7 linked regions of the Macaca fascicularis genome follow. The protein of the gene in region 1 purifies or fractionates together with the protein of each later gene. This does not show direct contact. Links are inferred from orthologs where the notes say so. Each region holds a gene or a part of one and is shown in the gene's direction. Other genes may lie near its edges.

Evidence for each region.
Region 2: the proteins of MED9 (region 1) and MED12 purify together in Homo sapiens (affinity purification with mass spectrometry; 6 studies listed by BioGRID and IntAct, with this or other methods). This does not show direct contact. The link is inferred for Macaca fascicularis from reciprocal best matches to the Homo sapiens genes MED9 and MED12.
Region 3: the proteins of MED9 (region 1) and MED23 purify together in Homo sapiens (co-immunoprecipitation; 3 studies listed by BioGRID and IntAct, with this or other methods). This does not show direct contact. The link is inferred for Macaca fascicularis from reciprocal best matches to the Homo sapiens genes MED9 and MED23.
Region 4: the proteins of MED9 (region 1) and MED25 purify together in Homo sapiens (co-immunoprecipitation; 3 studies listed by BioGRID and IntAct, with this or other methods). This does not show direct contact. The link is inferred for Macaca fascicularis from reciprocal best matches to the Homo sapiens genes MED9 and MED25.
Region 5: the proteins of MED9 (region 1) and MED7 purify together in Homo sapiens (affinity purification with mass spectrometry; 5 studies listed by BioGRID and IntAct, counting the BioPlex papers as one, with this or other methods). This does not show direct contact. The link is inferred for Macaca fascicularis from reciprocal best matches to the Homo sapiens genes MED9 and MED7.
Region 6: the proteins of MED9 (region 1) and MED20 purify together in Homo sapiens (affinity purification with mass spectrometry; 6 studies listed by BioGRID and IntAct, with this or other methods). This does not show direct contact. The link is inferred for Macaca fascicularis from reciprocal best matches to the Homo sapiens genes MED9 and MED20.
Region 7: the proteins of MED9 (region 1) and MED13L purify together in Homo sapiens (affinity purification with mass spectrometry; 5 studies listed by BioGRID and IntAct, with this or other methods). This does not show direct contact. The link is inferred for Macaca fascicularis from reciprocal best matches to the Homo sapiens genes MED9 and MED13L.

What each region holds. Positions count from the first base shown.
Region 1 is NC_088390.1:17,577,514-17,581,490, forward strand, and holds the start of MED9 (mediator of RNA polymerase II transcription subunit 9), read left to right. Parts: upstream 1-1,177; 5' UTR 1,178-1,211; coding exon 1,212-1,435; intron 1,436-3,977.
Region 2 is NC_088395.1:77,823,137-77,826,636, forward strand, and holds part of MED12 (mediator of RNA polymerase II transcription subunit 12), read left to right. Parts: coding exon 1-234; intron 235-615; coding exon 616-762; intron 763-921; coding exon 922-1,021; intron 1,022-1,151; coding exon 1,152-1,288; intron 1,289-1,507; coding exon 1,508-1,639; intron 1,640-2,006; coding exon 2,007-2,133; intron 2,134-2,546; coding exon 2,547-2,776; intron 2,777-3,148; coding exon 3,149-3,229; intron 3,230-3,360; coding exon 3,361-3,500. UniProt on the Homo sapiens protein: Component of the Mediator complex, a coactivator involved in the regulated transcription of nearly all RNA polymerase II-dependent genes.
Region 3 is NC_088378.1:35,557,851-35,560,749, reverse strand, and holds the end of MED23 (mediator of RNA polymerase II transcription subunit 23), read left to right. Parts: intron 1-1,319; coding exon 1,320-1,487; 3' UTR 1,488-2,399; downstream 2,400-2,899. UniProt on the Homo sapiens protein: Required for transcriptional activation subsequent to the assembly of the pre-initiation complex. Component of the Mediator complex, a coactivator involved in the regulated transcription of nearly all RNA polymerase II-dependent genes.
Region 4 is NC_088393.1:57,821,044-57,825,067, forward strand, and holds the end of MED25 (mediator of RNA polymerase II transcription subunit 25), read left to right. Parts: coding exon of another isoform or gene 1-78; exon of another isoform or gene 79-113; intron 114-1,713; coding exon 1,714-1,958; 3' UTR 1,959-3,524; downstream 3,525-4,024. UniProt on the Homo sapiens protein: Component of the Mediator complex, a coactivator involved in the regulated transcription of nearly all RNA polymerase II-dependent genes.
Region 5 is NC_088380.1:163,931,908-163,936,049, reverse strand, and holds the start of MED7 (mediator of RNA polymerase II transcription subunit 7), read left to right. Parts: upstream 1-1,342; 5' UTR 1,343-1,401; exon of another isoform or gene 1,402-1,797; intron 1,798-4,142. UniProt on the Homo sapiens protein: Component of the Mediator complex, a coactivator involved in the regulated transcription of nearly all RNA polymerase II-dependent genes.
Region 6 is NC_088378.1:129,647,976-129,652,065, forward strand, and holds the start of MED20 (mediator of RNA polymerase II transcription subunit 20), read left to right. Parts: upstream 1-1,290; 5' UTR 1,291-1,391; coding exon 1,392-1,405; exon of another isoform or gene 1,406-2,028; intron 2,029-4,090. Other genes in the region: BYSL (bystin), read right to left, coding at 582-849. UniProt on the Homo sapiens protein: Component of the Mediator complex, a coactivator involved in the regulated transcription of nearly all RNA polymerase II-dependent genes.
Region 7 is NC_088385.1:123,225,482-123,229,563, reverse strand, and holds the start of MED13L (mediator of RNA polymerase II transcription subunit 13-like), read left to right. Parts: upstream 1-1,282; 5' UTR 1,283-1,405; coding exon 1,406-1,477; intron 1,478-4,082. UniProt on the Homo sapiens protein: Component of the Mediator complex, a coactivator involved in the regulated transcription of nearly all RNA polymerase II-dependent genes.

The sequences.
Region 1 (3,977 bases):
TTGAGAAGCATAACCATAAACCCATCTTTGGCCTATGATCCTAGGGAGTCCTCATGCCAACAAGACCTTTTGGGGTCAGCCACGAATGTGAAGTTAGAATGCAGTTTAGGCTCTGCCATGACTCTGAACTAAATATGATTTTAGGGGTGAGGAAACTGGGACCTAGGGGTTTGAGGAACTGGCCCGAAGGTATGGAGCGTACCTGACTTTGTCGTTCTTCCAGGATATGATATTTATTCCTGGCACGAATCCCCTCTACCTTGTATTGAAAGCAAGGACAGCCTCCCTGCAACCACACATTACACCTGGCCATCCAGCAGGTGCATACTAAAAGTGTGTTGAGTTGAATTATCAGACTCTCAGCAGCCATGCAGCACTGAAGGGACCGCAATCCCTTTGCCTCTGCGTCCTTAGGGCTAAGCAGGAGGTCTCGATGTCTCGCACTGTGGGCCGGGCCGGGTTTGGTGCCTCAGCCAGCAGGTAAGTGCTGTCTACGCCTCCTGCAGGTCCAGTGGTTCCTCTCCAGACTTGGGTGCACTGGGCCAGGCTGCGCCTTACTGACCTCAAGGCTTCCTGTGTTTGTGGCTTTGGGGCCCTCTTCATCGTGTGAATAGGAATAAGAAGATTGTTATTTATGGCCAGGTGCGGTGGCTTGCGCCTGTAATCTCAGCACTTTGGGAGGCCGAGGAGGGCGGATCACCTGAGGTGGGGCGTTCGAAACCAGCTTGATCAACATGAAGAAACCCCGTCTCTACTAATAATACAAAATTAGCCGGGCGTGGTGGTGTATGCCTGTAATCCCAGCTACTTGGGAGGCTGAGGGAGGAGAATCACTTGAACCCGGGAGGCGGAGGTTGCTTTGAGCCGAGATCACGCCACTGCACTCCAGCCTGGGCAACAAGAGCGAAACTCCGTCTCAAAAAAAAAAATTGTTATTTCTGAAATAAATCCCCTATTTCTCACTATTTAATAATATTTAAATAATTTTGGGTCTTGACTCAACCCAAAACCAGGCACCCCAGACCCACCCACGGCCCGTCGCCTAGCAACAGTCTCCCCACCCCGCCTCCGCCCCGTTGCCGGCCGAGTGCCCAGTGCGCATGCTCAGAGCCTTCCTCCACGCTGCGCCCCTGCAGGGCGCGCGGTGGTGACGTATAGAGTTCGCGACGCTGTCGGCGACCCGACCTCTGGGTTAACCTAACCCCGGAGCCATGGCCTCTGCTGGGGTGGCAGCCGGGCGACAGGCGGAGGATGCATTGCCGCCAACGTCCGACCAGCCGCTGCCTGACACCAAGCCGCTGCCGCCCCCTCAGCCGCCGCCTGTCCCTGCGCCTCAGCCGCAGCAGTCGCCGGCGCCACGGCCTCAGTCACCTGCCCGCGCGAGGGAGGAAGAGAACTACTCCTTTTTACCTTTGGTTCACAGCATCATCAAATGGTAAGAACCTAGGAGAGGACCAGGCCCCATACTCCCTCCAGCTTCTCGTCTCAGCCGTTTCAGAGCTTCAAGAGGCCTTGGCGCTCTAGGGCACGCCCCCGTTTCGCAGATGGGGAAACTCAGACCCAGAGCGGGAAGAGGCCTTTCCCAAGACCACAGAGACATTCCATGAGTTAAGCAAACGATTTGAGCCCCGAGAGGTGCGATATCCTTAAGAATGAAGCCAGCTTAGAGACTACATACAGACTCTTGTCCAGCGGCTCAAACGTGCATCCCATCGATCTTGAGCAAATTAAATCTCTTTAAGCCTCAGTTTTCTCACCTTTAATGTTAGTAATACTCACTTTAGTTCCTTATTTCAACAGACTCAACAGATAAGCATCATCTTCCCTGTGTGGGACACTGCCAAGTGCTATGGGATGGACACAGTAAAAGGGGCATAGAAGGAAAAAAAAGACATGATTGGGAATAACCCATAATTCAAAAAGATTGAGAGGGGAGCGGTGGCGATGGGAAATATTAGACTAAGCAAAAACACAGAAGTTGCCTGAGATGATTAGACCCACCTGTACTGACTTTGTTCTAACAGTACCAAAGGAGATAATTGTCATCCTTTTGGCCAGCCTTTAGGGTAGCCTGAGTTTTCAAAGTGACTCTGTAAAGGAAAAACCAAAAACAAAAGCACGAAAGTCTTACTGATCCCCGTGTTTGCCTAAATTATTATACTGATCCCCGTGTTTGCCTAAATTATTATTTTTTTTGAGACAGGGTCTCGCTCTGTCACCCGGACTGGAGTACATTGGCGTGATCTCGTCTCACTGCAGCCTCAACCTCCAGGCCTCAAGCCATCCTCCCACCTCAGCCTCCCAAGTAACCGGAACCACAGGCATGAGCCACAGCACCCAGCGAATTTTTGTACTTTTTGTAGAGATGGAATTTAGTCGTGTTGCCTAGGCTGTAAATTATTTTCATTATGTTACTTCACTCTATATCCACGTGATAGTAGGTGTAAACCCTTAGGCTTATAACTCTTATTCAGCCATTAAAGACCACAAAGTAAATTAAAAGAAAATTACGAATCCAGTAACATTCAGGTGAACATGAATGTGCTCTTCACTGTTTTACTGAAACGGAATTGTTACAACGTGAAGGTCTTGACCGTTAGTGGCCCACCCACTTTTGAGTTTAAGCAAACTAGATTCACTTGCTGTGGGATGACCTGATGCTCTTCTGCCACTTTTCAAATAACTACAAAGGCTTTGTTCTCACATTAGACCCTGGCTTCATTTGGCTTCACTTGGTGTTTACTGTTTATAAGGGCCGGGCGTGGTGTCTCATGCCTGTAATCCAAGCACTTTGGGAGGCCAAGGCAGGCGGATCACGAGGTCAGGAGTTTGAGACCAGCCTGGCCAACATGGTGAAACCCTGTCTCTTACTAAAAACAAAAATTAGCCAGGTGTGGTGGTGGGTGCCTGTAATCCCAGCTAATCGGGAGGCTGAGGCGGGAGAATCACTTGAACCTGGGAGGTGGAGGTTGTATTGAGCCGAGATCATGCCATTGCACTCCAGCCTGGGCAACAAGAGCAAGACTCTGTCTCAAAAATAAATAAATAAATAAATTTAAAAAAATGTTTCTGGGATAAGACAGCCTGTTCAGTTTTTGTGAGCCTGTGATAATGATCACAGACAGAAATACATATGGAGCCCCTATAATCCCAGGGCAGTGCCGGATTATAAAGGGTTTAGTCAGATTAACCCCAGTTTACTGGTTTTAAGAAAAATGTGGAAAAAGGAAAACACAAAATGTACACATTCACAAAGACAGCTCTTGAACCCCCCAAGAGTATATTCTTGAGCCCTGGTAAAGCAGCTGGATTGGGCTGGCCTTAAAGATGTAGTAGTAAGTTATACTACAGAGAAGAGGCTTTGAAGTTAGACAGTCCTGAGTTCAAATCTGTATACTGACATTTTCATGCCTTCTAATATTGATATAAATGTCTAACCTTTCTAGGCCATAATCTTCTTATCTCTAATATGTCCATAGTGGACCTCAAAAGATAGGTTTAGATTATGTAATAGCTCTATAATGTGCTGACTGGGTGACCTGGGCAAGTAGCTTAGCTTCTCTGAGCCTGTTTTTCTCTTATGAAATGGGAATGCTTATGTCATAGGATTGTTGGGAGATGTACTCAAGAGCGTACCTGTGAAACCTAGTGGGCTGATCACATGTGCTTGTCTCTGTTTCGTCTAAAGGGACACAGAAGGGACTTAAAAAAAAAATACATAAAACCTTCAGACGCAGTGGCTCATGCCTGTAATCCCAACACTTTAGGAGGCTGAGGTGAGCTGGTCGCTTGAGCCTGGGAGTTCAAGACCAGCCTGGGCAACATGGCAAAACCCCATCCCTACAAAAAATACAAAAAAAAAAAAATTAGCCAGGCGTGGTGTGTGCCTGCAGTCCTGGCTACTTGGAAGGCTGAAGTGGGAGGATCACTTGAACCCAGATCATGCCACTGTACTTTAGCAAGGGTGACAGAACGAG
Region 2 (3,500 bases), on another chromosome or scaffold:
TCTGCGTACCTGTCCCGCCGCCTTGCCTACTTTTGTACACGGAGACTGGCCCTGCAGCTAGATGGTGTGAGCAGTCACTCATCTCATGTTATATCTGCTCAGTCAACAAGCTCGCTACCCACCACCCCTGCTCCTCAGCCCCCAACTAGCAGCACCCCCTCGACTCCCTTTAGTGACCTGCTTATGTGCCCTCAGCACCGGCCCCTGGTTTTTGGCCTCAGCTGTATCCTACAGGTAGGTACTAGGCGGGCCCAAGGAAGCATTGAGAGATAACCTGAGAAGAATTGGGTGCCCATCCCAGAGTATAGGGGTAATTCCAAATTGGATGTGGGAGTAGGTGCTGAGTACTTGCTTGGAGGTGGTTGTTTCTTGGTAATGGGGTGTTAGTCCCCTTTGGGGGTTTTGACCAGCCTCTCTCTCCCTTCCAGGGCTAAATAGTAGGCCCAGAGCCTTTTAGGAAAGTGAGTGAAGGGAGGGGATCGGGTGGAGTGATGCCTGTCTTGGGGGCCCAGTCAGAATAACTTTGGATCTGGAATCTACGGGTTTGGTCTTAGAATGGGATTCCAGAGGGGTAGCCATGTGAACGAGTTGGACTTAGCTGTTTCTATCTGGCAGACCATCCTCCTGTGTTGTCCTAGTGCCTTGGTTTGGCACTACTCACTGACTGATAGCAGAATTAAGACCGGCTCACCACTTGACCACTTGCCTATTGCCCCCTCCAACCTGCCCATGCCAGAGGGTAACAGTGCCTTCACTCAGCAGGTATGTCTGACCACTCGCCTGGTACTCTGATTGGGCTATGAGGCTAAAGTGCTCTCTCAGAAATAGTGATTTGGAGTCTGGTACTATTCTTCTAGCCTGGGGCTCTGGCCTTTTGTATGCCTTGGTACATCCTTATAGCCTTCCTTTTTAACATTGCAGGTCCGTGCAAAGTTGCGGGAGATCGAGCAGCAGATCAAGGAGCGGGGACAGGCAGTTGAAGTTCGCTGGTCTTTCGATAAATGCCAGGAAGCTACTGCAGGTATGTGTCGGAGAACAGATAATAGGAAGTATGTTTGAGGAAAGGATGGAGATAGTAAGGACATGTAGATCTGAGAGCCAGAATGCACTGGGCCTCTAGTTCAGTCCCCTTTACCACTTTTCCTCCTTAGGCTTCACCATTGGACGGGTGCTTCATACTTTGGAAGTGCTGGATAGCCATAGTTTTGAGCGCTCTGACTTCAGCAACTCTCTTGACTCACTTTGTAACCGAATCTTTGGATTGGGGCCTAGCAAGGATGGGCATGAGGTAAGCGAAAAGGGGAATAGAAGGAGCAAAAAACATTGCAAGAGCAATAATATATCTGAGGGGAAGTCATGGTGAGGCATTGAAAGCAGAGCATATCTGCAGAAATGATCTTACTGGGCCCAGAATGTTTTATGATGGAGTGCAGTCTTCAGGAAATTGGAACTCATTTCTTTGTCCCCACCCCTACCTTACTCCTCCCTCTCTTCCTTTGGTCTCCAGATCTCCTCAGATGATGATGCTGTGGTGTCATTGCTATGTGAATGGGCTGTCAGCTGCAAGCGTTCTGGTCGGCATCGTGCTATGGTGGTAGCCAAGCTCCTGGAGAAGAGACAGGCGGAGATTGAGGCTGAGGTTAGAGGGCAGAGATAAGAGAATGAGATTGGCCAATGGGAAGGAATTTACTGGGGTTGGAGACCAAGAGATGGAGGTGGTGGAGGGACCAGAGTTGAAGGTGTGAGAACAGAGGAAAGAAGTGGAAGAGAACCTAAAGGCAAAGTTACGGACATGAGGTGAAAGTAGAGAAGAGTGGATTGTTATCAGAATTAGAGATAACATCAAGGCTTCAGTTGGGAGGTGGTAAAGAAGATGGAGGTCAGCAGGGGAATGAAAATGAAAAGCATGGGGTAGAGGTCAAGCAGGTAGTAGTTTAAGGCCTACACATTGAGGAGTGAAGAAGCAGGTAAAAGTCAGTTCTACAATTTGTTCTGTCATCTTGCAGCGTTGTGGAGAATCAGAAGCCGCAGATGAGAAGGGTTCCATCGCCTCTGGCTCCCTTTCTGCTCCTAGTGCTCCCATTTTCCAGGATGTCCTCCTGCAGTTTCTGGATACACAGGCTCCCATGCTGAGTACGGACCCCTACCACTCTCTAGTTGCGTCTGCCTAGACTCAGTTACCCGCCACTGTCATCAAAAAGTATATTTCTCTCTTGGGCTCTATGCAGAATGACTTTTAGATGTAGTTCTAGTGATCCTCTTTAACTGATCATCTTACAGTTAAAGTAGAGAAATACAGAGAAGGATTAAAACAAGAGCTTGTGATTGAAGCATTTTCACTGCGTAAATCGCAACAAAGACATTACATTCCTTTCTGAGATGGTGTGTGGGGCAGCATGTGAGGTAACCAACCACGCTTTGTCCCTCGACAGTTTCTGGGATTTTTATTTTATCACTCCTATTAATTGCCTTAGGTGTGTCCCTCTCTCTTTTGGCCCACCTTTTTGTGTTCTCCTAACTCATGTTTCCTCATTCCCTTCCTCCAGCGGACCCCCGAAGTGAGAGTGAGCGGGTGGAATTCTTTAACTTAGTACTGCTGTTCTGTGAACTGATTCGACATGATGTTTTCTCCCACAACATGTATACTTGCACTCTCATCTCCCGAGGGGACCTTGCCTTTGGAGCCCCTGGTCCCCGGCCTCCCTCTCCCTTTGATGATCCTGCCGATGACCCAGAGCACAAGGAGGCTGAAGGCAGCAGCAGCAGCAAGCTGGAGGTGAGTGGGCTTTTCCTTGCCCTAGATCGTTTCTTCTGACATTTCTATCTTCATGGCTCCCAGAGGCCTCTAAGAGCGTCTTTTGCGTGGGGCAGGGGGGTAGTATTTTCTTAGCACTTGGTGATTGACCAAGCACTATCACATCAATTGTTTCATTGGTTCCTCCCATCAGCCTTGTGAGGTACTCTTGTCCCCATTTTCAAGCTGAAGGAAGCAGAGGCCTATACTGGTTAAGTGATTGGATGACTTGACTCCAGATCCTGTGCTTTCCACAATCTGGTCTTCTCTCTCCAATTCCCCCGTGAAGTTTTCTAGATGGTGGGAGCCGCTCCCTAGGGCTAAAGCAACTTTGCTTATGTTCTATGCCCTCAGGATCCAGGGCTTTCAGAATCTATGGACATTGACCCTAGTTCCAGTGTGCTCTTTGAGGACATGGAGAAGCCTGATTTCTCAGTAAGTTCAATCCTGAGCGTGGCAGAATCTGGCTCCTTTGATCTTCCCATTATGCCTGCGTTTGGCATTTCTTTACCCCCGCTCATCCCCTTTCCTTCTTCTCATGTTCTGCCTTCTCACCTTTCTCTCAGTTGTTCTCCCCTACTATGCCCTGTGAGGGGAAGGGCAGTCCATCCCCGGAGAAGCCAGATGTCGAGAAGGAGGTGAAGCCCCCACCCAAGGAGAAGATCGAAGGGACCCTTGGGGTTCTTTACGACCAGCCACGACACGT
Region 3 (2,899 bases), on another chromosome or scaffold:
TTGTACTTTTCCCCCAAAAGACCTAGAGGGTTAATTAATAATAATCTCATTAGGGAGAAACAGTGGGATATGGCTGCTGAAATACGAGCAGAGAAGTTGTTGTGTTATGAGAAAAGGAGGTCCTACTTCTCCTAACACTCATGGTGACATTAGACAAACCACAGCATAACTAGAAGACTAAAGTCAGGATTCTAGACTAATCCTGACTAGAGACTAACTCATGAAGAGCATTTAAAGAATATGGGAATACTTAACCTGAAGAAAAAAAGTCCTAGGGCATTATTTATGCCCTCAGCATTTTGGAGGGTTTTCATTTGGAATAGGGATTAGATTTGTTCTGTGTCACTTTAGAGGGTGTATGAATTCTGGGAAAGTTAAAGGGAGGACATCCTGACTTAGCATATGAAGAGGAACTTCCTAATAGGGATGTCTGAAAGTAGTAAAAGACCTTGAATCATAACTGATTCTTTGGGTTGAGATACCCCTCCCAATTCTTTGGGTTGAGATACCAAGGAGGTTGACTCCTTTATGTCTCAGCAGCAGTGTCAAAGAGAGTTGACCTGTTCTCTCTCATGTAAGAAAGAGAGAAATTATATTGGCTTTTGTTACAACACAGAACATGCAGAGAAACTATAAAAGAAATTGATTGCTTTTTTTAAAAAAAGTATTCTTTATATTTGGGCCTAAGAAACTTTAACACAAGGGAGTACAGAAAGGAAAAGGTCAAAGAGCATTTGAGTAAAGCTAAGAAAGCTGTGAAACGACTTGATGTATTTGTGTCCTTAGTGTTTTTCAAAAGAGTAGATCTAATATTATTTAGTTAATTCCAAGTGTAAATCAAAACAAAAATAATTAGTTTTGTATATAAATGTTGCAGACATGAGTTATTCAAAGAACTTTAAAATATAATTATGCTTCATGCTTCTGTAAAGATGGCATTTTAAAAGAATGATCAGCTTGTTGGATGTATGAAATTTCCTGTGTAAACTCTGCTAGCTTTTGGTAGTGGGATGACTGGCTAGCTAGATAAGTGGATATACTTTTGTAAGTATATGCCTATATATGAATATACATATGGTTCATGTACAAACATGCATATAGAATATATAATGGGTGTGTGTGAGGGAGAATGTGTTGTTTCTCATGCAAGAAAGAATTGTATCTGCTTTTCGTAAAACACAGAACATGTTGAGAAACTTCTCATCTACCCCACGCCACTCCTTAGTTTATTGTCTCAGGATATGTGTAAATCCTGCTTTAAATGTGAGAAGTTGAAATTCTCTGATTAAAGTACGTTTTAATGTGTTTTTATTTCTTAGGTAGAGAAAATTATCTGTAACTTAAAACCAGCTTTAAAACTTCGTCTTCGATTCATCACACACATTAGCAAGATGGAACCAGCTGCAGTGCCTCCACAAGCTATGAACAGTGGGTCTCCAGCACCTCAGTCTAATCAGGTGCCCGTGTCTTTACCGGTAACTCAGTGAAGCCAGACTGTACTGTGGAGAAAGTGGAAATACATCCGTCTTTGAGAATGGACTCAAACCTTTTCAATCTGAATGTGATCACGCTATGGTGATAGAAGCAGTGATGATGTTCAGATTGTTTTATTTTGATTCAAATGATGAATCTGTGGACACCTTATAACTCCCATCTCCCTATCTATATTTTTGTCTCTAAGAGATCAAGTAAGATACGTGTTGTTCATATTCATAACAACTTATTAGAGCTACATAGGAACATAGAGGTTATCTGTGATCAAAGGACTTTTGTCATTGGCACTTTCAGTCTTTCCTATTCTAGCCGTTGTTTTTGTTTGTATTTTTTATTAATGACATACTTAGTCTTCAGATATATTATTTTAAAGGCACCCCACATGTAAAACTGTTATTACAAATATTTTATGCATAAATCTCTTGGTAGATTTTCAGAATAGTAAGATTTTTATCAAGAAAAAGAATCTAGACTTTGTTGCGTTGTAGGAGCAAACAAGGCTTCTATTCTTTTTAAAATGACTTGAAATTTTGTTATAAATTTCCATAGTTTCTATCAAGGTCAGTTGGTAGTTTTATTACCTTTGCTATGGATTCGAACTTAACTGTATAAAATGAGTTGGAAGCCATGTAAGAAAATAACATCTGAAAGTTCTTGAACTTGATTGATTCTCCAGTTTCTTTTTTTAAAAATAATTGCTTTTGCAGATTGACACTCTCACCTGACAGATGACATAATTCTTCAATTTTTATAATCTTAAAATTTTTTAATTTTGTATTTGTAAATACAGTACACATTTTATTTCTTCAGAATTTCTTGGATTTTGAGAGACATTGTTAATTTTGGGGGAATTGGCATTGTGAAAGACTTGAAAACTAATAAGTAAAGTCTGCTGAATGAATATACCACGTGATAGTTTCATGACTCCTTTGGAATGAATGTCGGCTGTGTGCCAGGCGGTGTGCTGGCTGGGGTCAGTTGGAAATGCGGTATTCTGTGGGTCCTACACTACAGTTGGTGACTGACATTGGCCTAGGAATTAAGAGTTACAGATTCTTTTTGAAAGAACTAGTGAATTTAACCAACTGTATTTCAAATTCATATTTCTAAATACGTTCCTCCTAGAACTTTATTTTCTTTGTAGCTCATGTTATTGCCATCACTAAATCATTACTGGCCATGCAAGTCCAGCTAAAAATTTATATAATGGTAAAAGTAATTTTTGCAGACTCAGACTCATTCTTTTTGTTTGTTTGTTTGTTTTTTGTTTTTTGAGACAGAGTCTCGCTCTGTCGCTCAGGCTGGAGTACAGTGGCATGATCTCAGCTCACTGCAAGCTCTGCCTCCCTGGTTCATGCCATTCTCCTGCCTCAGCCTCCTGAGTAGCTGGGACTATAGGCGCCTG
Region 4 (4,024 bases), on another chromosome or scaffold:
GGTCCCCGAGGCCCGGTCCCCCAGCCGGGCCTGCAGCCCAGCGTCATGGAGGACGACATCCTCATGGATCTCATCTGAATCCCCAACACCCAATAAAGTTCCTTTTTAACACACGCCCCGGCTCCCGTCACTGACATCCCCCAGGACTGGGCAGGAGGAAACCCCAGGGGGCATCTCTGTCCTTGTTCTCACTTCAGCAGATATCCCTGGGGCCCTGGGTGGGTGACGCCGGGGCCTCCGTGGTGAGTCAGAGGCAGTCTGGTGCAACCTGGTTCGTGGGAGATGCAGGGACAGGCAGGCAGCGCTCAGGACTCAAGCTCTCATGGAGGTGGCGGGGCACCATGGGAGCCTGGAAGAGGTGTCTGACCCAGCCCCAGCTCCTCAGTCTTGAAAGAGAATCAGCTGTCAGGCCGGGAGGGAAGGAGGTGAGGGGTGATCTGGGTGCAGAGAACAACAGAAACTTTGAATACTCAAAGACAGGAGGAAGCCTGGGATGTTGAGAGGAGCAAATTGATGGATGCTTTTGGAGCATGAGCGTGTAGGGAGCTCATGTGTAGAGAGATGGGCAGGTGCAGAGTTTGAGGAGCTCAGATGCCAAACTGAGCAGCCCGTGGTTTGTCCTGGGGACACAGGAGAACCAGGAGACTTTGAGCGGTGGGGCGGGCTTAGGCCGGCTCTGGATGTCAGAAAGAGCCCTCTCAGCTGTGGAGCGTGATGAGACCAGACAGGAGGCCAGGAAGGGTGAGGCTGGGTGGTGGGGATGCTGGGGACTGGGGTAGAGGTTGGCTTCTGGGGTCAGGCCTACGTGATGGTAGGTGGTGGGGCTCCTGGGAGAAGGAGCTGGTAGTAAGTGTACGTGGTCCAAGGGACGTCCAGGTGACAGGTGCCATTTTGGGAGCTCAGGACGTGTCCTTAGAGGACAGTGTATGTTTGGGGTTCAAGCCACAGAAGCAGACAAGATCGCACATGGAGAGAGGGTGGTCCCTGGGTCCACATCAGAGACTGACCTTCCAGGGCTGTGGACGGGAAGACGGTGGGTCTGTCCCCAGGATGGAATACCCAGCAGGGAACAGGTTTGGGATGTGGCAAGGTGAGGGACCTAAAGGATGGCCTCAGAGACATCCTGAGGGCAGGGGATCCAGACAGGCTTGGAGCGCAGGGCGGTCTCTCCTGGAGGTGGAGAGTGAGTTGTCTGTTGTCGGACTCTGGACCAGTGTTGCTGAGAGCGCGGTCCATGCCTGGACCACCAGCATCCACATCATTTTGGATGCTGGTTAACGTACAGATTCACAGGCCCCACCCCAGGAGAGAGATTGCAATCTGGTGGCCTATGGGCCATGGTGCAGATGAGTTTTGTTTGGCCTTCCCTGTGTTAGCATATGTGGCATTTTTTTCTTGAGTTAGTTATAAAAATCAGGTTAATACACACACACACACACACACACACGCAAAATCTGCAGTCTTGGCATCTTTTGACAAGTCAGAAGAATTGGCACCCCTGGGCCCGCCCTTCTGCCTGGCAACAACGGGCTGGAGCTGCCCCTCTCCATGGGGCGTGTGCTCTCCGGTTCGCCACAGTCCCCACCACTCCCTCTTGGCTCCCCTGTGAGGCAGAGAGTCACTGCCTTTGTCACGGGGCTTGCACTGTGGTTGTTCTGTGGTAGCATTCAGAGGAAAGTGAAATCTTTCTTGTACTCATGTCTGTATCACAAGCGGCAAAACGAAAGAGAGAAGGAGAGGGCCGCGTGTTTCGAGAAAAGTGGGAGCGAGCCTATTTCTTTGTGGAAGTGAAGAGCATGCCTATGTGTTTAATATGCAAACAAATCGTGTCTGTGTTGAAAGAATACAACCTGAAACGCCACTACGAATCAAAGCATAGCAAGAGCTACGACCAGTACACAGAGCAGACTCGAGACGCCATCCTCAGCGAACTGAAAAAGGGACTCAAATGTCAGTAGGGTTTGTCTTGAAAAGCGAATTAACAGAAGTGGTGCGGCAGTGGTACGCCGTTCCGGAATCACGTGAGAAGAATGACCTGGGCATTCAGAGCTACAGCAGATGGCGAGTTGATAAAGGAGCAGAGTGACGTGTCCTTTACAGAAACACATGACTGTTGAGACCATTATTTAAGTCTAACGGGCATTTGCGTTGCACAGTGAGTTGGAGATAACTCGGGGGATTTAGAAGTCCAGTTGCTTGAAAGAGTCAAATTGATTGTGGCCTTTTCTTTCGCTGCTCATAAACTATTACCACCCAGTTAGCTTTATTTATTTGTGGTGTTAAGAAACTTGATGTGACTGAAGAAGTCTGTGGCATGGTGCCAAGGCGGGCCCAACACTGGGAAAGGACTCATTTTTTTTTTTGTATATTGAGAGAAAAGTTTCACATAGACTGGCCAGAGTTCTGAAGCACAACTACAGACAGCTGTCATGACAGGGGGACTTGACAGGACACCTTGAGCCAAGGTGACAATTTGGCAAGGACACGGAAGTCGGGTCGTTGCATCCATCATCAGGAGTTGACTTGTTCTGAGCAGCTGAACAGAACACACCGTGACGCTCTCGACACTTCCGCTCCTGGGCTTTAGTCACGAGTGAGTTGATGATGACTTGACCTGAGAGATTTCACAGAAGCTCTGTGACTTGGTTGTGGAAGAAATTGAAACTGTACAAGTTAATCAGCTTGGTTCATTTTAAATCAAGCAAAAGCCACAGTGGGTTCCCCTGAGAAGGTTAGTCAAAGACTTCTGGTCAAGGTTATGACCGTTCTGAACACTGAATATTTCTCTGCAAGGATGTCCACAAACAGCTACTTGAATGTAAGATGGTATATGCTTGGTCCTGGCAAAAACGGGGAATCCACCAGCAAGGAAAAAAAACATTTACTCTTTCCTACGCCACAGTTGGCTTTCAGAAGTGAAAGACGTGGCCTGGACTATATTCACCTACGTCCTGGGGTGGAAGACCAAATTCCCCCAAAGGCCCTCGGAATCCAGACTCATGAGAAGGAAGAGACACTGTCCAGTTTGCCTTTGTTGGTAAATGTTTCTTGTGTGAATACAGACCATAAATAGTAATTGAACTATGGTGCAATACGGCGCTGGTTCCTAAATACAAGTCTGTGTGAAGATGGTGAGATTCTACAACTATCTCCAGTAGTTGTCCTGAATATCCATGTTTGGGAGTACCCACGCTTGTGAACAGCTGTTTTCCGTTACGAACCTGAATCAAATTAAACATTGTTCCCAGTTTAAGGATTCAAGGCTGAATTCTAAACTGCCCATCCCCACCGTGCCACCCCAAGGCCTGACACATCTCGGTGTGGAAGGGAAGACGCCAGCCTTTTGGCTTCAACTCAAAGGCGCAAAAAGAATTATGAAAGAGAATTTTAATAATTAAATATTTCTATTTTTCAATTTGTATTTTTTCAATTTTGAATTTAAAAATATAAACTCCAGTATCATCCATGTTTGTATTATGTTCCATGCATTCACCATAGTTCAGTAAAGATCCGATTTGATGATATTTCTGGCCGTCGACTTTTCTTATACCTGGCTAGTTCACTCATTTATGTGACCCGCCTGGCCCCTGTAGGCATGTGAGTTTCCCATCCCTGCCCTGGAACTGCTGGATCCAGCGGGGGGAGGGCGGGGGTGTGGGAGTCGTGTGAGCAAGCTCTCTAGGCGATCCTCAGGAATGTGCGTGTGGAGCAGGAGGCACTGGTGACAGCGAAGAAGTGAAAGTGGGGGATTTCCCAGGCAGCCTGTGTAGCAGGGGTTTTTGAAAACTCAGATGGCTTCAGGGACCAGGCAGGTGATGAAAATGTGTGAAGCGGACGGGTGTAAGACAACAGGGAATGATGGGGACTGTGGCGAACTTGGAGAGTGCTTGCCCCGCCTAATGGCATTCAAATTGAAACCAAAAACACTGTGAGGACCAAACAAAATCTGCCTGTGGGTCTAATGAGGCCGCCAGGCCGCCATTTTGCGACCTCTGGAAGAAGGAGAAGACTCGAGAACAAGGAC
Region 5 (4,142 bases), on another chromosome or scaffold:
CAAAAATCAAAGAAATCCAGATGAGAGATAATGGCAGCATGGCATAGGACCATACCAGTAGGGACGGTGGTCAGTCATATTTGGAACTTTATTTACTTATTTTTAAATAGAGCTAATGCAAAAGGCTGGTATGGTAGTTTCGGTGGGGTATGGGAGAAAGGAGAAAAAGGTGATTCCTTAGATTGAACATTTGCAATTGAGTAAAGTGCAACGGGGTAAAGATGTCTGTCACCACTGGATATGAGGGTCTGAAGTGCAGAGGAAACGGTGTTCCAGGGCCTGCATGTATCTGGGTGATATCTGACTGAGAAGTGGTTGGAGAACTGAGTCCTGGGGCAATCCAAATAATCAAATGTGCCAAATGCTGCTGACAGAGGGAGTAAAACGAGGACTGGGAACAAGCATTGGAAGTCACGGGTGCAGGACATATTGGGGTCAGCAGTGAGGATGAATTTCTTCAGGAAATAAATTTATATGTGCGGGGGAATTAAAATGGGGGAGGCCGGGCTACGTGGTTCACGCCCGTAATTCCAGCACTTTGGGTGGCCAAGGCGGGCGGATCACTGTAGGTCAGGAGCTCGAGACCAGCCTCACCAACATGGTGAAACCCTGTCTCTACTAAAAATACAAAAAAAGGAAAAAAAAAAAAATTAGTCGGGTGTGGTGGCACATGCCTGTAATCCCAGCTACTTGGGAGGCTGAGGCACGCGAATCGCTTGAACCCCGGAGACAGAGGTTGCAGCGAGCCGAAATCGCGCCACTGCACTCCAGCCTGGGCGAAAGACACTCCGTCTCAAAGAAAAAAAAAAAAAAAATAAAACAAAATAAACCAACAAAAAACCCTGCATATCTGTATTTTCGAATTTTTATGTAAGATGTCTTCATTGTATGGGTTAAATTAAAAAAGAAAAGACAAAAGGAATGGAACTACCAGCTGCGACTGTCAGCAGAAGAGTTGTAATGCGGGCAGCGGGTGGAACACACGAACAACCTTTGCTAGGTTTTCTTTGGGAGGTTATTTTCGCGTCATAAATGTCTAAATTCATGGAAGTCTTACAAGAGCATGTTACATATTAAAATATAAGATTTTTTCTAGTCAATAAGGGGTCTATAAAAAATAAAGCAATAAGATGTCTTGTTTAATTTTATGCCTTAAAGAAACGAAGAAACAACCCTCACTTACTACTTTTAAAAGTCAGTAAAAGGGGTGGCGATGGCAGGAGTCGAATATACGCAGGCGCAATAGCGAGCGATCGGTCTGAGGCGGATCTAGAATCTCGTTAAAGGACAGCTCCTACAGCCAATCAAAGACAGAGTCGGTGGCTTCTTCCAGGAGGAGACCGGAAATTGGTTTCGGCTGCAGAGGGGGAAGGCGGCTACCAGTGTAAAGCCAGAGTTGAGGTGAGTGGGCGGCAACGGCTTGGGGCCCCTGCGTGTGTGCGTTTTTTTCTTCCGGACCCCGCGGTTTCCTCTGTGCTGGGCTGGGAACTGGGGAGGCATGGAGGAGTTCGGCCTCCGAAGACGCTCTCTCGTCTTTCTGTCCCGAGTCTCTCCGAGAGCGCGGCCTCCCCGCCGCTCGTGGAGGTCTCGGGATGGACAGCCTGGAGGAGGGGGCTCTTAGCGCTGCAGTCCCAGGGCTTCCTCCGTGTGGGGACGCCGAGCCGGAGTGGAGGTTGGGAGACGTGGTGTCTAGTCCCCTCGCCGCTGTTTTTCTAGGCTGTGTGGCCTTGGGCGAGTTATTTGCCCTTTCTGGCCCTTTGTAACATGAGAGTAGCCCTCCCTGCCCTTCCTTCTTCTGGGAGCAGTTGTGAAACAGCTGAGATACGGGGGCAGGCGAGGGCAGTAGATCCCAACCAAGCCTAATCGTCAGGTCCATCTGGAGAGGTTTTTAAAGCGACATACCAGGGCCCATTCACAGTGGACAGAATGAATCAAATCTCTGGGGCTGGGACCCTGGAATATCTGTCGTCTTCTGGTGAGGCGCCTTCTCCCCCAGAACAAACACTAGATGTTGGATCTTGAGTCTGAGAACCAGTTATGATGCTTTGCTCTGGTTTTATTAAAATAAGACTTCCATCGCCTTTGAAAAGTTCCATCTAGAGAGACAGTAGAGAAAAATATAATTTTTGTAATATGCAAGTTCTAATTGTACAATTAGATGCTTCACGGCTTAGAGATATAAGAGAGCTTGCCCTTTGGAGCTAAAGGGACCTGGGATAAGAATTCCTGTTGTACCATTTATTAACTTTTTGATCTGGGGCAACACTTCCCCTCATTGAGACTTGGGATCTTCACCTCTAAAATGAAATTGATAATAGAACTTAATTCATGGGACCCTGTGGTGGCTCACGCCTATAATCCCAGCACTTTGGGAGGCCGAGGTGGGCGGATCACTTGAGGTCGGGAGTTCCAGACCAGCCTGGCCAACATGGTGAAAACCTGTCTTTACCGAGAAATAAAAAATTAGCTGGGCGTGGTGGCACACACTTGTAGTCCCTAGCTACTCAGGAGGGTCATGCAGGTGAATCCCTTGAACCCGGGAGGCAGAGGTTGCGGTGAGCCCTGATCATACCACTGCCCTCCAGCGTGGGAGACAGATTGAGACCTTGTCTCAAAAAACAAAACAAACAACCTTAATTCATAGAATTGTTATGAAGATTATGTTAGAGAGGCCATAAAACAACAGTATCTGTCACGTAGTTGCCTTAGGAAAATGACAACCTAAGTACAGGAATGCACATCGTGTAGGAAAGTACAGAGCAGCACTCGTCACCTAAAAAGGTTTGAGTGGAATGAAACGTAAGGTGTCAAAAATTGTGTTTTGAAGTACCAGATCAATGTTAATTCCTTGATTTTGGTAATTGTGCTGTGGGTAGAAGAAAACATTCTTGTCCTGGGAAAACACATTGAAGTATTCAGGGGTGAAGGAATGAGAAACCAATAAAGCAAATGAAGGAAAATGTTAACATTTGGAGAATCTGAGTGAAGAATATGAAGTGTTCTTTGTATATGCATGCACTTTTTCTGTAATCTGAATTTATGTTATAAGTTTTAAAATGTTGGCTGGGAGTGGTGGCTCACACCTGTAGTCCCAGCACTTTGGGAGGCCAAGGCAGGAGGATTGCTTGACCTCAGGAGTTCAAAACCACCCGGAGTAACATGGCAAAACTCTGTCTCTACAAAATATACAAAAATTAGCTGGGCGTGGTGACATTTGCCTCGTACTCCCAGCTGCTTGGGAGGTTGAGGTGGGAGGATGGCTTGAGCCTGGGAGGTCGAGGCTGCATCATCCTATGCACTACTGTGGCATGGTGGAAACTCAGGGCTGCACCATGCCTGCCCTTAGTACCTCACGAATTCTAAGTATAATATTGCTTCTAATAGAATACTTGCCCCACCTGATGTTAGAGGGTGTTATATCTTGAAACTTTGATAATACCAGTGTAAAGGAGCACTTCAGAATCTTCTCATTGGATGGTATATCTAGGCTTAAGGTAGAGTAAGTAGAGGTTATTATGGCCATAGAAGATACTGGGTTTGAACCTGGGGTTTGAAATTTCTGTGATAGTTGTAGGGAAGTTAATGTGTCCATACAGGCCGGGCGCGGTGGCTCACACCTGTAATCCCAGCACTTTGGGAGGCCAGGGTGGGCGGATCACCTGAGGTGGGGAATTAAGAGACCAACTTGGCCAACATGGCGAAATCCTGTCTCTACTAAAAATACAAAAATTAGCCGGGCATGGTGGTGTGCGCCTGTAATCCCAGCTACTTGGGAGGCTGAGGCAGAAGAATTGCTTGAGCCCAGGAGGCGGAGGTTGCAGTGAGCTGAGATCGCACCACTGCACTCCAGCCTGGGCATCAGAGCAAGACTCCGTCTCAAAAAAAAGAAAAAAAAAGTTAATGTGTCCATATAAAATTGCATAGTTTACTGTGACAAAAAGGATATGGAACTGAATCATTTCATTCAGGAACTTTGGATAATACCATGTGTTTAGTATTTAGCAGTGTTAATTTTGTCAGTGTTTATGAGAGATACAAGTAAGTGTTTGCTATTGGAAATCAATCTGTAACATAAAGCAAAAGTGATTGTGATACGAGATTGGGAGACAACATGTGTAGTTTGGTTATGGAGGAGTAGAGAA
Region 6 (4,090 bases), on another chromosome or scaffold:
TCTTTCATCTCTCTCCCTCTTTGGCTGCTAAACAATGTGTTTTCTGCTCATAACACTTCCCATTCGTTTTTCAGTTCTCAACTTAAAAGGTCCTGCTGCAATCGGAGAAGCTTCTCAAGACCAATGCTATTGTTACCAGGGAAGCGACACTTTATCATAGAAAAATATTATTCTAAGAGTCTACTTAATTGACTCTCTACTGGGCTTGACTGTAAGGTCCTTAAGTCAGACGTGCCTATGTTGTTTACTTCTGTACCCAAACATTCGATAGAACTCCGAGCATAGTACAAAGCTCGTAGTGGGTATCCCATATATATTTACAAAACCAATGGATAAATGCTAGGGTGGAGCGAGCGATTACTGTTGGCCTAACTTAGGGGATGTGTAGAAGGGAGTGCCTAAAACTAGGAGTGGACGCGGAGGGCTCTGAACAGGGTTCAGTCTCCCATTCCATTACTTTTGCAAGTGTAATACGGACCCTTTGTTGACTCGAAGCAATTCCCCTGCCAGACACTTTTTAGCTGTCCACCCCGCCCCACTACTGGCCACTGTCTTCCTCGGATCTCATCCCAGACACTCACCCAGCCGCGTGGTGCGTTCCCGCGACGCCGCGGGCTTGTCCCCAGTCCCATGCTCGGCCTCGAGCTCCTCCTGTTGCTGCCGTGCTTGCTGCAAAATCCGCCGGCTCAGCCGGGGTCCCACATACTCTTCCTCCGTTTCTCCGGTCCTGCGACCCCGCCGCTTCTCCCGGACCCCTGCCCGCACCGCATTCCCAGCCAGGATCTGATCGGCCAGGGGCGCATGTTTTTCCTGACCCCCGACCCCACGGGCCGCCTTCAATTTGGGCATTTTTCTCGAAAACGTTGCCGCGGAGGTTCGCACGTGGAGACGGCGAAAAAGCCAGATTGCGCTTGCGCGGTGGACTCCCGGCTCTCAAGAGGCCACGCGGCGATCACAGCGCCCCCTAGCATTCGGAGGCCAGAAGCGCCATCAGCGCCGCCCCTCCCACTAAAAGAGCTCCCGGGTTCCGGTGCTGGACTCCCCAATATATTTACAGCCTTTAACGTTAGCTTCTCTCAACAGTGCAGTCTTTGAGTGTCGCTCTTAGCTTCATGGGTCTAGGCCTAGAGTGCTCAGCCAAACGAGAATGTCTGGATTTAGAAACCTGTGGGCGGGAATCCGCAGATGATGTCACTAGAGGTGTCACCGAGGGGCCCTGAGACCCGCCCCACTCCTTGGGGAAGGCGTGGACCCGGCGCTCTGTTTTTACGTATTTCCGGAGTCTCTTCCGAGACCGAAGGTTGTGTTGGGGAACTGAAGCAGTTTCTGTGGGCGGATAGGGAACCCTGCGTTTCTACCGTGTGATCCGGCCGCCTTCCTGGCCCGACGCCATGGGAGTGACTTGGTAGGACTGCAGGGGGTTTTGTAGGGCGGAGCTTGGAGTTGTGAAGGGCCGAAAAGAGGACCTTGACCGTGGTCCGCCGTCCCCTGGGAGCTGTCCTCGGGTTGTGTGGATGAGAGGATGCCGTGCGAGCCGCGGGTTCCCCGGCCTTGTTTCCTCGGAGATGCGCCCCTTCCTCTTGGAAGGCGGGAAAGCAAAGCGAAGTTTTTTTTTTTTTTTTTTTTTTTTCTTTAAGACGGAGTCTCGCTCTGTCGCCAGGCTGGAGTGCAGTGGTGCGATCTTGGCTCACTGCACCCTCCGCCTCTTGGGTTCAAGCGATTCTCCTGCCTCAGCCTTCCGAGTAGCTGGGACTACAGGCGCCCACCACCACGCCCGGCTATTTTTTGTATTTTTAGTAGAAATGGGATTTCACCATATTGGCCAGGCTGGTGTCGACAAAGCAAAGTTTTTTGTTTTTTTTTTTGTTTGTTTGTTTGTTTTTGAGACGGAGTCTCGCTCTGTCACCCAGGCTGGAGTGCAGTGGCCGGATCTCAGCTCACTGCAAGCTCCGCCTCCCGGGTTCACGCCATTCTCCTGCCTCAGCCTCCCGAGTAGCTGGGACTACAGGCGCCTGCCACCTCGCCCGGGTAAGTTTTTTGTATTTTTAGTAGAGACGGGGTTTCACCGTGTTAGCCAGGATGGTCTCGATCTCCTGACCTCGTGATCCGCCCGTCTCGGCCTCCCAAAGTGCTGGGATTACAGGCTTGAGCCACCGCGCCCGGCCGACAAAGCAAAGTTTTTATCCCAGGAACCTATCAATGGTTGTGTACCTCATTCCCTTCTAGATTTATTTTCCTTCCCGTGAGGCCATAGTACTGCCCGCAATGGGACGTCAGGGTTGGAAATAGGGTCTTTGGACTGTGACCCACCTGCAGACAGGGTTAGAGGGAGTGTGTTATAAGCAATCAGGAAACAGTATTTTTAAAGATTTTCTTTATTTTTCTTTATTTCTTTTTCTTTCTTTCTTTTTTTTTTTTTTGAGACGGAGTTTCGCTCTTGTTGCCCAGACTGGAGTGCAATGGCGCGATCTCGGCTCACAGCAACCTCCGCCTCGCGGGTTCAAGCCATTCTCCTTCCTCAGACTCCGGAGTAGCTGGGATTACAGGCATGCGTCACCACGCCCGGCTAATTTTGTATTTTTGGTAGAGACGGGGTTTCTCCATGTTGGTCAGGCTGGTCTCGAACTCCAGACCTCAGGTGATCCGCCCGCTTCGGCCTCCCAAAGTGCTGGGATTACAGACGTGAGCCACCGCGACCGGCCAAGATTTTTGCCTACCCTTCCCTCAGCCATCAAATGCAGTTAGACCAGCTTGTGTCTGTTTCTAATTTGCCCATTTTAAGATCTTGGGTCCAGAGGGAAAAAGAGGCTATTGAAAATAAGGAGATCATGGTTCCAGGCACTTTATCTCTTTAGGACCCGTTTCCCACTATGTTTAATTCCATGGTTAGTCTAGTTTCAGAGGAGTTTTTATCTTTCATAGGTTTTAAGTCTCCGTTGGAAGAAGATGAGGTAGCAGGGAAAGGTATGGGTCCAGTGCTTGTGGAGGCGTTAGTTGTAAGGTGCCAGGTCCCAGAACATTTTTTTCTTATCTCAGTAGATGTGAGCATTTTTCCCCGTGGGAGAAACCCAGAGGCCAGGATATCTGAAGCCAGTGGCTATAGGCTTCTCATACAAAAGCATGTGTAGGGGAAATACTTTTCCTCCTGGTAGCCCAGGTTCTTGCAGGTTTCTCAGTGATTGCACTCTTGTTTCCCACAGTTCACATCATGATCCTCCTGTGTTCCTTAATGGAAGCAAGATATGTGAGGGATGGAAATAGAAAGGATGCAGCGTAGAACCCTGGAACCCCATGCTCTTTTTTAAATAAATAGAAATGGGTTCTTGCTGTTTTGTACATCCAGGTCTTGAATTCCTGAACTCAAGCGAGCCTCCTGCTTTGGTGTCCCAAAGTATTGGCATTACAGACACGAGCCACCGTGCCCAGCCACCCCTGCTTTTTAAATGGAGAAGGCAGGCCGGGCGCGGTGGCTCAAGCCTGTAATCCCAGCACTTTGGGAGGCCGAGACGGGCGGATCACGAGGTCAGGAGATCGAGACCATCCTGGCTAACACGGTGAAACCCCGTCTCTATTAAGAAATACAAAAAACTAGCCGGGCGAGGTGGCGGGCGCCTGTAGTCCCAGCTACTCGGGAGGCTGAGGCCGGAGAATGGCGTAAACCCGGGAGGCGGAGCTTGCAGTGAGCAGAGATCCGGCCACTGCACTCCAGCCTGGGTGACAGAGCGAGACTCCGTCTCAAAAAAAAAAAAAATAAATAAATAAATAAATAAATAAATAAATGGAGAAGGCAGCTCCAGGGCAAGGGCTCTCTGTTGGCACCCTTATCAACGTTTTCAGAATCCTAGGACTTCTGTCCCTTGTAGCGTCAGTTTAGGGATTCTTTTATATTTCAACATAAGGCACATTAGCAACATTGTTTATCAGTGCTTTTTCTGATAGAGTAGTGACAATTTTTAGCAACAGAAGGACTCTACCCTAATAGATTCATTTAGTTGATCATAAAGCAATGTCATCTATGACTGTTTTCTTGATTTCTATATAGCTAAGTACTGCCTGTACTATTGTTTATTAATTTTTTAAATTGATCTTT
Region 7 (4,082 bases), on another chromosome or scaffold:
GCTCAATACACATTTCTGTATTAAACGCACAGTGCCTGGAACACAGTAAGCGCTCCCTCTGTGGCAGCCGTGAATATCCCTGGGCAAAGACTGTGAAACCTAGTCCAAGAGCTTGGCTTCACTGTGCGCGGGTTCGAATCTGGACTCCTCTTCCCAGGTGTGCGACCTCGGGCAAGTGACTTAATCCCTTTGTGCTTCAGTTTTTTTTCTCTGTATAAGGCGGACGGCGGCGCGAGCCTCCGAAGACACACACTTCCCAGAGCACTCGGACCCGCTGCCTGGTCCACAGCGCGGCCGCCGCGCCACGCCAGCCGGCCTGGGCTGCGGGGACACAGGCCGGGGGCCCCGCGCCCGCTTCCGCGGCCGCCACGGGCGCGACCCGGACCCACGGTCCCGCCCCGGACCCACGGTCCCGCCCCGCCACGATCAGTGCACCGCGAGGGGGCGGGGCGGCCACGAGGGGCAGCCCACGGCAGCCACGGGCCGGCAGTCCGCCGCCCGCCGGGGAGCCCGGCCGCCTGCACTTCTTTCTCTCCCTCTCCGCCTCCCTCCCTCCCTCTTCCCGGCTCGAGGACCCGGCCGCGCTCGGCTCAGCAGCGCCTCCCGCGAGCCGCCGCCGCCGCCGCCGCCACTCCGGACCCCTCCCCCGCCCGCCCCCTTCTCCCCCCGCGCGGCCGGCGCCCGTCACGTGACCCGGCACCAGCCAATGGCGGGCCGAGCCGCGGTCGGCGGCCGCCATTGCTGTCAGAGCAAGCGAGCCCGGGGAGGGAGGAGAAGCGAGGCTGACTGGGGAGGAGGGGGGGGTGGGGGAGGAAGAGGAAGGAGGGGACGTCGCTCGGCTGCCGGGGTCGCCCGCTGGCTTCGTCCGCACCCCCCCCTTCGCGAGTTCGCGCTCCGCGGCGGCGGCGGCTCCGAGGCGGCGGCGGCGGCTCCGGGGCTCGCCTCCCCTCGCGCGCCGGCGGGGGCCGAGGGGGAGTCGGTGGCTGGAGATAAACAAGGCGGCGGCAGCGGCGGCGGCGGCTGAGGAGCAGGGAAGGCGGAGGCGGCGGCCGGCCCGCAGCGCCGGCCCGGGAGGCAGCGGCGGCCCTGAGAGGCGGGGTGGGCGCCGGGCCGCACGGACAGCGCCCCCCGCCGCCGCCGAAGCCGCCGCAGCCGCCGCCGCCGCCCGAGCAGGAAGGAGCCGCGCGGCCGCCGCGGACCCCCCCGCCAGCCCGGGCCCGCCGCCCCCGGCGCGGCGTCGCCGCGGCGCCTCCCGCCTGCCCGCCGGCCCTCGCGCCCTCCCCCGGCGGCGGCGGCGGCCCGGCCGCCCCGCGCTCCCCGGCGAGGCGCCGCCGCCCGGCCCGGCCTCGCCTCGGACGCCTCGCTCCGACATGCCCCGCTCTGGCGGCCGGGCTCGCGGAGGATCATGACTGCGGCAGCGAACTGGGTGGCGAACGGGGCGAGCCTGGAGGATTGTCACTCCAACCTCTTTTCGCTGGTGAGTAGCCGGGCTGCGGGGAGGGGGCTGTGTCGGGGAGGGGGGGCTCCCCGACCTCCGCCGCCGACCAACTTTCTCCTCCCGCCGCCGGGACTTCGCCCCTCCCTCGCGTCTCCCCGCCGTTCGCCTCTCGCCGATTCTCCCCCTTTTGGATCGTCTCTTTCTCGCCTTGGATCCCATCCAGTGTTTATTTGGCTCTTTAAAAATCATTTGTGAGCGCGGCGCTCGGCGTGGAATTTGCATGTGGAAGTCTCGGAGCTGCGGATTCTGGGTCGCACTTCGAACGCCCACCCTCTGTTGCAATTGCACTCCCCTTCTCCTCCCCTTTCCCCCCTTTTTTTCCCCCCTAAATGTGGAAGGCTTTGCCTTGTGCTGCCCGCGCCTCCGATCGGCAACCTCTTCCCCGTTGTCGGATCGGCTGCCTGCCCGCCCGCCCGCCTGCCTTTTGAATTTTTTTAAATTCCATAATGACACCTGCAATTTCGCCCGAAAACAGTTGATTGAATGCGATTGTGTCAGGAAAGGACTCTTGCACCCGAAGCTCCCGCGATTGTAAACATCGACAGCCGCTTGCCTCTCGGGGCTTACTACGCTGGAGAGCCGTAAAGCCATTGCACCGAGCCGACGGAAGGTGGAGAAAGCTTTTTTTTCTTTCTCTCCTTCTGTGTCTTTTAAAAACTGTTTTCTCTGTCCTAACAACGAATCCACACACACACACACACACAAAAGCAACAAGCTGGGCGGTTTGATAACATCGCTTTTATCTGCTTTCGCCTCTCTCGCGCTCTCTCTCTGATAATTGACAACTTTTCCTTCGGATTTGAATCGCCTGCCTTAATCTTGAAGCAGTTAGGGTGTCAATTGTTCTCGTGGAAGCCTGGCACCCGCCGACGGCGTCTAGATTCATCGAAATTAAAAATGTATAGGGCTCCAGCAACTCTTTCCTGGCGGTGGCAGTGACATTTGGTGGTAAATGCCATCTTTGCTTTTTATTGGGTCGTATTACCTACCTCTGAAAACATTCACGTTGTTAAACCTGGCGTTTAGGCTAATAATTGCAGTGCGTGGTCTTTAAATATGTGCTTTGTGCATGAATTACTGTATGTATAGCTATGTGCCCAGGAGAGTACGAATTTGTTTAAATATTGAGCAAAGATTTGTAAACAGATGTAAGGCAATTACGTTTCAAGCGTAGAATATAATTGGAAAATTGGCTGAACAGTTTATTTAATTTATCCTTAAAAACACCCAACTTAGTTGTGTACCCTGGTTTTTTTAGGGGGAGGTGAGTCCCTTTTGGAGAACATACATTTTGGAAATTATTTTCTGTAACCCCCGCTGTAGATAGAAGCATCATTTCCCTCTTAATCCTTGTTTACACTGGATAAATAATTTAGTGTTCAAATTGTAATTAGTTACATTTAATTATGGGTGGCCTAGATGCTTTTTTGCTATGAGACTAATGGAGAAATGCAAATTCTCGCCAACTTTTCAAATGAAAGTATTATGTTATTAAATGTGTTACAATACAGACCAAAAAATCAACACACGCGATTTTTACCTACAAAGACCGAGTGACATAGTATCATTGATCCCACTCTAGTAAGATCAGGTAAATTTTTTTAAATGAAATATTTTAATCCAGATATTTCATCTTAAAATTCAGTTATAAGTTGGAATTCTTTCTCTTAGTATTTTGATAATTTTCCCTTGATTTTTTTGGTATGTGGGAGTAAAACCCCCTTTTGCCCCTTCTTTTTCCCTCCTCAGTCTTATCATTTGGTATCAGTCAGGTTCAGGGACTTTCACAGATTAGCAAACATATTGATCAAGGGGTATTTAAAATGGTTTTTGTGTGGTTACTGGTGATCACATTGACACAGGTAATTAAAATAACCAAATAGAGAGATCTCCCAAATTATCATATATTATGCTGACTGGTAATGACTGTGTATATACAGATTGTGTAGACGTATGAAAGTGTATGTATAGCCAGTCTTTTAGGGTATATCATTTCTTTTATCTTTTTTTTTTTTTTTTTTTAAAGCTTAAGTAAGAATGATAACGTTACAGAGATAACATGCTTGAGATTCTTTTGGAGAAGCAGTTTTGTAGGAGAGGATTCTGTACTTTGATTTTGACTGACTAAAGGTTTGTGTTTCAGATATTTCTCCCCTAAACCTCTTTAAACCAAAGGATTGATTTTTGAATATGCTTTTAAAAATAATTATTTTTTAAGTAGCAACTTTGAAATAGAGAACTGTAGTAATGCTTAGTTGATTTTTTTTTTTTTTGAAAGGAATGTAGAATGTCTTCATTGTCTTGTACATGGAGTGTGGATAAGGTGCTATTAAAGAAATCTAAACTGCTGACTTGTACATTTTTCTGATTCCAAATTGATATTTTTTTTGAAAATGCTATACAGAAGCAGCAACCTGGAATATTAAAAGTATGTTGCCTAAAGTACATTGTATATAATAGTTATTTCTGAAGGAGATCTAATCCCTTGTTCAAAATAAAGCATATTTTTTATAAGAACGCTTTATGGTTTAATCATAGCTTGCATTTTTTTCTTTTGGCCTGCAGATTTTTTTTTTCTTTTTTT